2 linked regions of the Mus musculus genome follow. The protein of the gene in region 1 purifies or fractionates together with the protein of each later gene. This does not show direct contact. Links are inferred from orthologs where the notes say so. Each region holds a gene or a part of one and is shown on either strand. Other genes may lie near its edges. The genes, in order: Chtop and Erh.

What was found.
Region 2: the proteins of Chtop (region 1) and Erh purify together in Homo sapiens (affinity purification with mass spectrometry; 3 studies listed by BioGRID and IntAct, with this or other methods). This does not show direct contact. The link is inferred for Mus musculus from reciprocal best matches to the Homo sapiens genes CHTOP and ERH.

Annotation. Positions count from the first base shown.
Region 1 is NC_000069.6:90,506,441-90,510,738, forward strand, and holds the start of Chtop (chromatin target of PRMT1 protein), read right to left. Parts: upstream 3,059-4,298; 5' UTR 2,751-3,058; intron 1,187-2,750; 5' UTR 1,170-1,186; coding exon 1,105-1,169; exon of another isoform or gene 1-1,104. UniProt on the Homo sapiens protein: Plays an important role in the ligand-dependent activation of estrogen receptor target genes. May play a role in the silencing of fetal globin genes.
Region 2 is NC_000078.6:80,641,154-80,645,659, reverse strand, and holds the start of Erh (enhancer of rudimentary homolog), read left to right. Parts: upstream 1-1,548; 5' UTR 1,549-1,893; coding exon 1,894-1,896; intron 1,897-1,994; exon of another isoform or gene 1,995-2,125; coding exon of another isoform or gene 2,126-2,194; intron 2,195-2,814; coding exon of another isoform or gene 2,815-2,871; intron 2,872-4,506. Other genes in the region: Slc39a9 (zinc transporter ZIP9), read right to left, coding at 684-779. UniProt on the Homo sapiens protein: May have a role in the cell cycle.

The sequences.
Region 1 (4,298 bases):
ACTCAGAAATGCAGCCAAGGGCAGCACAATTAGAAGCGATAACAAGGGCTCAGGTAACAGCTCTTAAGAGAAGTGGAAAGCATGAAATACACGCAGTAAGCAAATATGATGACAAGAAACAGAGATGCAGTTACAAAGACAAACAGAAATGCCGACACTTTTGGAGAGTGAAAGTTCATTCAAAGGACAAACAGGAGGAAGGATCAGAGCACCTTCAAAGTCCACTGAAATAACAGACTCATGAGTTATGGGAGTTTATTACATTCTAACATGTTACTTAGTAACACATGAATACAGGAAATTAATGTATCACATCTTAAAAGATGAACAGAGAAGCACATGTGCTTCTGAAGCAAACACAGGCACTAAATTAAATGCCTTGGGAGTTCTAGCAACAACATAATAAAATGGTGAAAGACACCAAATAAATGAAATTCTCAGAAACAAAAACTGCCTTTAAATACAAATAACCACTCTTTCTGACTCAGGACTTCTGAGAAAGTTAAATTAGTTAAGTCGCTTAAGAGCCTAAGAGGACATTATTCTATCATTCCTGTTATGATTAAGTTTAATAGAAGTAAACACACAGCTGATGAAAGATTTCAAAACAAAACAAACTAAAAAGCAGAATGGGAAGAAAGTGAAATGGAGCAAAGCAAGTGCCTCTTACAAGGCCCAAGAATGCCATTCAGGGGCCTTTGGACATAGTCTCGGCTTGCTACCTGCCTCTTACAGGCCAGACACAACACTGCTGGCCTCGGACTAGGCAGCAAGCCTCTTGCAGCCAGGATATACCATACCATCATGCTGCACCACCCCTGTATCAATGTTAGGAAAAAAAATTGAAGGGAGGGTGTGAGGAGTCTTTTAAAAAATATATCCCACCAGGTAAATATTTCAGATAGCTTAATATAAAAATCTACTGATAAGGGGTTTTGAAACAACTGCCCAATTTGTTTTGTACCACATTAGATGCAATTAAGAACAGAGGTCTGTAGCCTTCTGTCATTTAGCTTACAACTGGCTTTTTTTGTATTGGACCCCAGGGTCAATTTAAGTAATGTTTTCTTAGGAAGGAGCTGAAGTTGCTGTTGGCTGCCTCACCGCTCATTTAGAGACATCTTGGTGGTGCTTTTTAGCACAACTTTCGGCGCTGACTGTGCAGCCATCTTCAAATCCCGAGAATCTACAAAGGACAATATGCATGAGTCAATCAAAATAATGAAGCTTGCATTTTCACAAGAAGCAAGGCATAAATCTGTTAAAGGCCTATATTTTTAACTCTGAAGATGGTATCATGAGATCTTAAGTTTGCCAGGTGGTGGTGGTGGTGCACTTTTAGTCACAGCATTCCTGAAGCAGAGGTAGGTGGCTCCCTTTGAGTTCGAGGCTAGCCAGGTCTACATAGCAAGTTCCAGGACAGCCACGGCTACCTAAGAGAAACCCTGTGAGGTGGGGGCTTACGTCCATACAATAGTTATAAAAATTTCAAAGCTCCAGGATGGAGAACATCTGCCAAAGTCTCCAAAATAGCAGAATGAGATGTAGCCAAAGCCTAGGAGTTTGGCTTTCAATAGTTCTTCTCAGCCTGGACTGTATGTGACTTAGCTGAGGAATGTTTGAAAAAAAAAAAAAAAAGAAAAAGTCCCTCCCAAACTAAACTAAATTCTTGATGCCTGGATCCAGACCAATTAAAGTACAATCTGGCCATGAGGATGGGGTACAGCAACTGGGATTGGGGGTGCTACCCAGGTACATCTTACATGTCTATAGAAAGTTGAGGGTCATGGATCTAGAGAAATGGAGGAGCTGGGAATATAGCTCCTCAGTAGAGTGCTTGTTTAGCACTGATGAAGCCCTGGGAAGTTCAATTCCCAGCAGCAACAGGGGAGTGGTGTAACAGTCTGAGGCTGTAACGGGTTACATTGTCACACTGTGAGGACCGGACTCTCATACACCCAAAATAAAAAGAAAAGCCTAGTTTCAAAATCGATTCTCAACTCCAAATGCAGGTGGAGCTCTAGTTAGACATGGCAGGGGAAAGACAGAAGAGGTTTTCTAAATGGGTATTCAATCTGAGAGCTCTGTTAAGAGCACACCACAATATTTTAACTGTAGTGGCATATACTGGGGAGGGGCTGAGGCAAGGGGGTCACAAGCTCAAGGCGAGCCCGGGTGATTTGACAGACCCTGTTTCAAACTAAGATTATTATTATTTTTAAAGCTGGAGATGTTAACTCGGGGCGCTAGTTTAGCCAAAGTACGATTTTGGGTTCAACTTCGGTGCCGCAAAAAAAAAAAAAAAAAAAAAAAAAAGAATCAAAATCGAACACCCAGAGCCGCCGCTAATTCCTGTACTCCTCATTTGACCTCCACCTCGAAGCCTCTCAGGACTCCAACTTTGATCAGGCGACTATTTCCGTGGTTATCCCCATCAAACGCTATTCTGGGGCGAGGCTTTGGCTCCGATGGAGGACGCTTATCTAGGTAAGCAAGACACTGGATTTGAGGCCAAACCACTACGACCAGCACCACCAGCACCAGCACCTGCACCAGACACGCCAACCACAAGCAGCACCCGCACGGCTAGCGGCCCAGCTCGCTGGCCGCGGTTCCGGCTTAGCCTCCGCCTCCCGGCTCCGCCCCCTCCCCGGCCTCTGCGCACCTCAGCCCGGTCCACACCTGCCACCCACGCCACCGGGCCCCGGACCCCGCGCCCCTCCACCTCTGCCCTCTCCACAGAAACTCACCGAAGGAGATGGACGCCAGCGCTCCTCCCGGGGTTGCCACCACGGCTGCGGCGGGCGGCCCGGAGGCCGGCCTAACCTGAGCTGACGGCGGGCCGCTCGGGTTAACTAGCTGGGCGGTTGGCTTAGATGCTTAAACGGTAGGATGTGAGGCTTCCTCGTTGTGGGTTGAGTATCTAGCTGACCGATCCTCCCGCTCGTCAAGCCTGCCCTTTCCTGCCTTTCGTCTGGGCCCCCAGAGCCGGCGCCGCCAACTCCCGCTTGGTGTCCAAAACAAAATGGCCGCCGGGCCCACCAGTGCAGCGTGACCGGCTAAAATGGCGCCGACGGGCTTGCGTCAGTGCGCGCGCAACTAGGGGCGTGGCAACATGGTCCTTTGGCCTAGCGCAAGAATCGCAGCGAATCCCCACTGACTTTGGCAAAGATCCCTTAAGTTACGTGTAGTGCTCCGCCTTCGGGGGCGTGGCCAGTGGCCGTAATCGCTAAGTACCTCTAGACTACCTTCTGGACAAGTTTATGCCCCACTTTGGTGGGATTTTTGGCTTGCAAATAGCAGCTTAGATTGGCAACAGTGTTTGTATCCTTTTATTTCCCATTCCCAAGCTAAAGACAACTGTAAAAAGTCTTTATTAGGACCTTGAGACCTGGCTAATTTGCTCAGGCCCTCAAACCTATTTGTAGAGTTTCTGTTTCTTTTTGAGGCAGGCTTCCTTTGTGTAGACCAGACTGGCTTCGAACTCACAAAGATCCACCTCCTGACCCCCCCTAACCCCGCCCCTCCCAGTACTGGGATTTAAGACCCACACTGGACTCATCTACATCCTTTTATAGGGACTGCCTCTAGAAGATGTGGCTAGTTTTAGGGTGGGTCTTTTTACCTCAAGTAATCCAATAAAGCAAATCTGTATCCCCACTTATGTATCCCTAGTTCTTACATAATGTCTAGCAATGATGAGGCATCAATAAACACTGAATGAAGCTTGGGAAAAAGTTCTTCTAGTAGTTTTTTGGTTTTGTTTTCTGGTTTTGTTTTTTTGTTGTTGTTTTTTTTTTTTTTTTTTTTTCCGAGACAGGGTTTCTCTGTGTAGCCTTGGATGTCCTGGAACTCACTCTGTTGACCAGGCTGGCCTTGAACTCAGAAATCTGCCTGCCTCTGCCTCCCGAGTGCTGGGATTAAAGGCGTGTGTCACCACTGCCTCTGGTAGTTTTTTTGAGACAGAGTCTCTATAATGTAGTTCTGGCTGTTCTAGAATTCTCTATACAGACCAGGCTGGGCTTGGACTCACAGAGATCCTCCTGCCTTTTACGTCCCAGGTGCTGAGCTGGTGTTAACTATGGTACGTGCCACCATTTCTAGCTTTCTTCAGATTTTTTAAAAAAGATTTATTTATTTATTATATGTAAGTACACTGTAGATGTCTTCAGACACACTAGAAGAGGGCACCAGATCTCGTTACGGATGGTTGTGAGCCACCATGTGGTTGCTGGGATTTGAACTCCGGACCTTTGGAAGAGCAGTCAGGTACTCTTACCCACTCAGCCATCTCACCA
Region 2 (4,506 bases), on another chromosome or scaffold:
AACCTCTGCTTAGTGGATGACAACCTAACAAATAACCCAAAGTGCATCCTGCATTGCAGACTAGGTTTGGCCTCAAACTCAAGAGATCTATCGCCTCTGCCTCCCCAGAGCTGGGATTAAAGGCGTGCAAAAAGTTTATCTCTAAACAAAGAGATTTGAAAATAATCTCAGAATATCCATTCCAGCCCTTGGCTTCTTTGAAAGGAAATGATAATAACAACCTACTGTAGCTTTTTTCTCTCACACTGATTGTAGTGCTGACATCCTAAGCTTTTCTCCAAAAACATTCATGATTTTTCTCAGAAATTGTTATACTGATTTCACCTCAGTGAAATAGTAAGTCTCCATTTGGTTTTATCTGATATCTTGATTTCTTGAAACCTCCAGGAATCATCAGAAATGTAACTGTGGTTCCTGTCTCTTGAAAAATGCAGAGCCCCAACTTTTGGTGGTCGTGGGGGTATATAATTTTCAGAGGATTCTGAACACTCCAGGTTCTCCAGTGTATCATCTATCTACCATTCTTGGTTAAGATGTATACGGTTGAACACAAGCTTTGTTTCTACTGTGAAATGTTACATCTTTTCCTTAATGAGACCTTAGAGCTGAGAAACAGCTTCTTTGCAAATATAGCTAGGTCTAGCATCATCCTAACGCTTGGCAGACAATGGAGAACGTCTTACCTCTGAGAAATTAACAGCCAAAGGAATGATTCCGGCCACGTAACATCCCACCAACATTGCCACAGACAGCAGACTAATGGAGAGAAAGTCATCCATTCTGCCCTCCCGTAGTCACCCTCTACCACCAGGCTTTAAGATTCCAGCAGTTTCGAAAGGCGCTTAGGCTGTTTAAACGCGTGGTCTTCCAAGCAAACGGGAATTTGCCCACTTCTTTCAGCCTTGCCACCAGCCGGGGTGTTCTCGAAGCACGCCACTCTCTTAAGAAGCAAGCTCCTTCTGCTGACTCTAGCACCAGAGAAAACTTCGCGCAATCTTAGGTACTCGGTTGCCAGCCACTGAGATTCCGGTCGGTCACAGATGGAGAAATTGTGCTGAAAGAGACCTCAATCGTCGGAATGAGAGTGTCACGACGACCCGCTCCTAGACAAGGCCCCTGGTAGCAGTAGGAAAGAGGGGTAAAGCCAAGTGTCTTCTTCGCACGCTGTACCTGTTCCTAGGGGTGGCACCGCAGGTGATACGCCCCCAGGGAAGGGACCAGCCCACCAGTCCCAGCAAACTACCTTCCGAGTCTAGAGTCGGGCAAGATGTCCTGCAAGTCTCTCACTTGGGTCGGAGGATTCAACAGCAAAGTCGACACGATGCTGTCTCTGCCCTACACCCGGTGCTACCCATGGTACTTCCCTCAGCCAGGCCCTGACCCTGAGTCGCCAATACTACAGCTGCCATGGCCGCCAAGTGGCACCTCTTCATTACTCCCACTTCCGGATTGTCTCACAGCCTCCTCTTTAGCAGGGCACTTCCGGGTTACAACCGACCTATCGGCCAGGTCCTTATATTGCCGCCATTTTTTTAGAAAGGCTTAAAAAAAAGACGACTGGTGTCGCTGTTGTATTCCCCATCACTTTAGCCGCCTGTCAGTTAATTAGAGTACAGAAGGCAGAATCCCGAAACGAACTCTTCTTCCTAAAGCGGAGAAAGAGTCTCTTACCCATCCCGGCGCCCTTAACCAAGATGGCTGAAACAGCGTCAGTATCCACTCTAGAAACCAGAAACGTGTGTCTCTCTATGGTCTGAAAGATTCCTTTTGCGTCGCGCTTTCGACGACTTCCGGCGGCGGCTCTCGCGGGATTGGCTGTTGGCGGCGTTGCGGCTGAGCTCGTGTGCGGCAGCAGAGGTGTTAGCGGCGGCTGCAGCAAGAGCGTTTGGCGCGATGGTGAGTCCTTAGCGGTTGCCGGGGTCCCCAACTTAGAGGGCCACCCCTGCTCGGTACATCTTCCCATCCTTCCCGCCCCTGCCCTTCTAGCGCGAGCGAGGGAGCTGCTCCCCGCCCCCTTCCCCCCGGCTCGCGGGTGGACCCTTCCCCTTCCCGGCGCTGAGCCGCGGGGCCTGCCCGTAGGCCCCGGACCTGATCCTCCTCCCTGCGGCTGCGCGCCTCCCGCCTGATGGTGGGGGGCGAGGTATGCGGTGGGCAGACGATGCCCTCCCTGCCGATCGCTGCCTGGAAGAGGGAGGTGTGGGGTGCCGTTCATTTCTCATCAGATGCACTAGCCGACTGTAGGAACAATGGCCGGGGAACGTGTTAGACGTTTCCTGAAACTGACACACCCGTCACCTTACGGTTCTCCGTAGGTCGGCCTTAGGGGGTCGGATTGGCTTTACAGTGTGCTGCCTCAGCCTGCCCCCTAACCCCCGAACTTCAAAAAAGAAAGTATTTTTCCTTTTTCAGTATCCTTAGTTGCCCTGTTTTGCCAATTTTGTCAGCCTTCGATCTTGTTCTTTCTTATATTCTCCTGGGAGTGGAGCCTGAAAAGAGACTCCAGGGTCCTGGTCCCAAAATCCGGCAGGGAAGGTTTTTGTTTTATTTGTTAAGTTGTGTGTCTGTGCTTGCACGTGAGTACAGGAGCCCTCAGAGGCCAGAAGAGGGAATGAGATCCCCTGGGTCTGGAGTTAGAACAGGCGGTTGTGAGCGGAGGATGTGGGTGCTAGGAACCAAACTCATGCCTTCTGTAAGAGTAGCACGTGCTCTTAACCACTGAGCCATCAACACTCTGGTTGTTGTTTTGCTTTTGGGGATCTTCCTTTTCGGTGTGTGGTGATTTGCCTGCATGTCTTGTGTGCCACTTGCATGCAGTGCCTGCGACAGACAGAAGAGGGCGTCCGATCCCCAGGATTGGAATTACCTGTGATGGTAAGCGACCGTGCGAGTGCAGGGAATTGAAAACCAGTCCCTTGGAAGAGCAGCTCGTGGGCTTAACCACTGAGCCATGTCTCCAGTACTTATGCCCTCTTATTTTTAAGTAAACAAAAGGGAAATATTTGGAGCAGGTGTGTTTATAGTTTTCAAATATTATTTCAAGTTATTCCTTAATTTGCCTAAAATTTTTAAAAATGTGGCAAAGAATGAATAGCTTGTCTAGGATGAGCCATTACAAAAATGCAAATAGGCTTTCATGAGACTAATTTTCTCAACAACAAAAGTACCATTTGAGTAGCTGGCCTTTTATGAGCCCCTACACAACACATCCTGCTTTCTCTGGCTATTAATAACAAACAAAACACTGTTCACATGACTACAGGTTTCTTTTGTTACCAACTTAGAGTTTTCTCTCAAGTCTTCTCAAACTTAATTAAAGACACAGATCTTGCTGGGGATGGAGAAATAATAATGCTCTTGCTGTAAGAAATTTAAAGTGCTTTTATTTCTGTTTTTATCCAGAAAGCCTAAATCTTAGAAACTCAGTTCAGTTTGTTGATAATTAAATTTTTGGATTATCTCAAAATAGTTTGGGCATCCTGACATGAGAATTTGTTTTTTAATCAGAAACTAGTGTTGCAAGTGAAGAAAATAAGGGGAATAATTTGGCTGAGAATTGGGCTTGCAGTGGAGTTGCATCATGCTAGCATTTGTTTAATTAATTAATCTTGTTTTGTTTTTCGAGACAGGGTTTCTCTGTATAGTCCTGGCTGTCCTGGAACTCACTCTGTAGATCAGGCCAACCTCAAACTCAGAAATCCGCCTGCCTCTGCCTCCCAAGTGCTGGGATTAAAGGCATGCACCACTACTACCCGGCTAATTAATCATTCTTAAATGCACGAGAGACACTATATAAGACTATGCTGGTCAGGATGTCTGCTTCACTTATTTAAAGATATTTTTGGGTTTTGCTTCTTTGAAGAGAGTTGGTGTTAGTGAGATCTAGTGAGTGGAGACCAAAGGTGCCACAAAACATCCTATAGGCTCAGGACAAACCCAAAGAATTCATTTCTGTCCCCAAATATAGTGAGAACTCTGAAGCTGACTCGGCTCCCCAGTGAGCAAGAGAGGAAGGCTTTCAGTGAAGTCCTGCTCCTCTGGTACAATCAAAGATTTTGTACATTCAAAGATAAATTATTTGGGTATGAGCTGGCCCCTTAAGGCAAGTTATCTAGACGAATAGTTCCATAAATAACTTTAGTGTGGTGTTCACTATATACATTTTATATTGTTACTTTATCTTACACCTTGATGTGGGAGGTAACTCCTGTATAAAATGTGGTTCCGCTGTTGTGCTCAAGTCAGGAAAGACCTTAGGTTGATACAGTGATTATAGTATTTCCTGTTCTCCTTTAACTACTCCATGTCTTAGTTTTTATTGAGTTAAGAGAGCTAGAGGCTAGTGGAGTCAGAAAACGGGTTCTAAAGGTTAATAAGAAAAAATGCAGGAGCGGGTATATTTGGAGTTTGAGAAATGATCCAGAGGGTAAGGGGCTGACTTAGTTAAGGGAGTTGTGAGCCCAGCACTGATAGGGAAACATGAACTGCGGATGAGCAACCTAGTCAGTT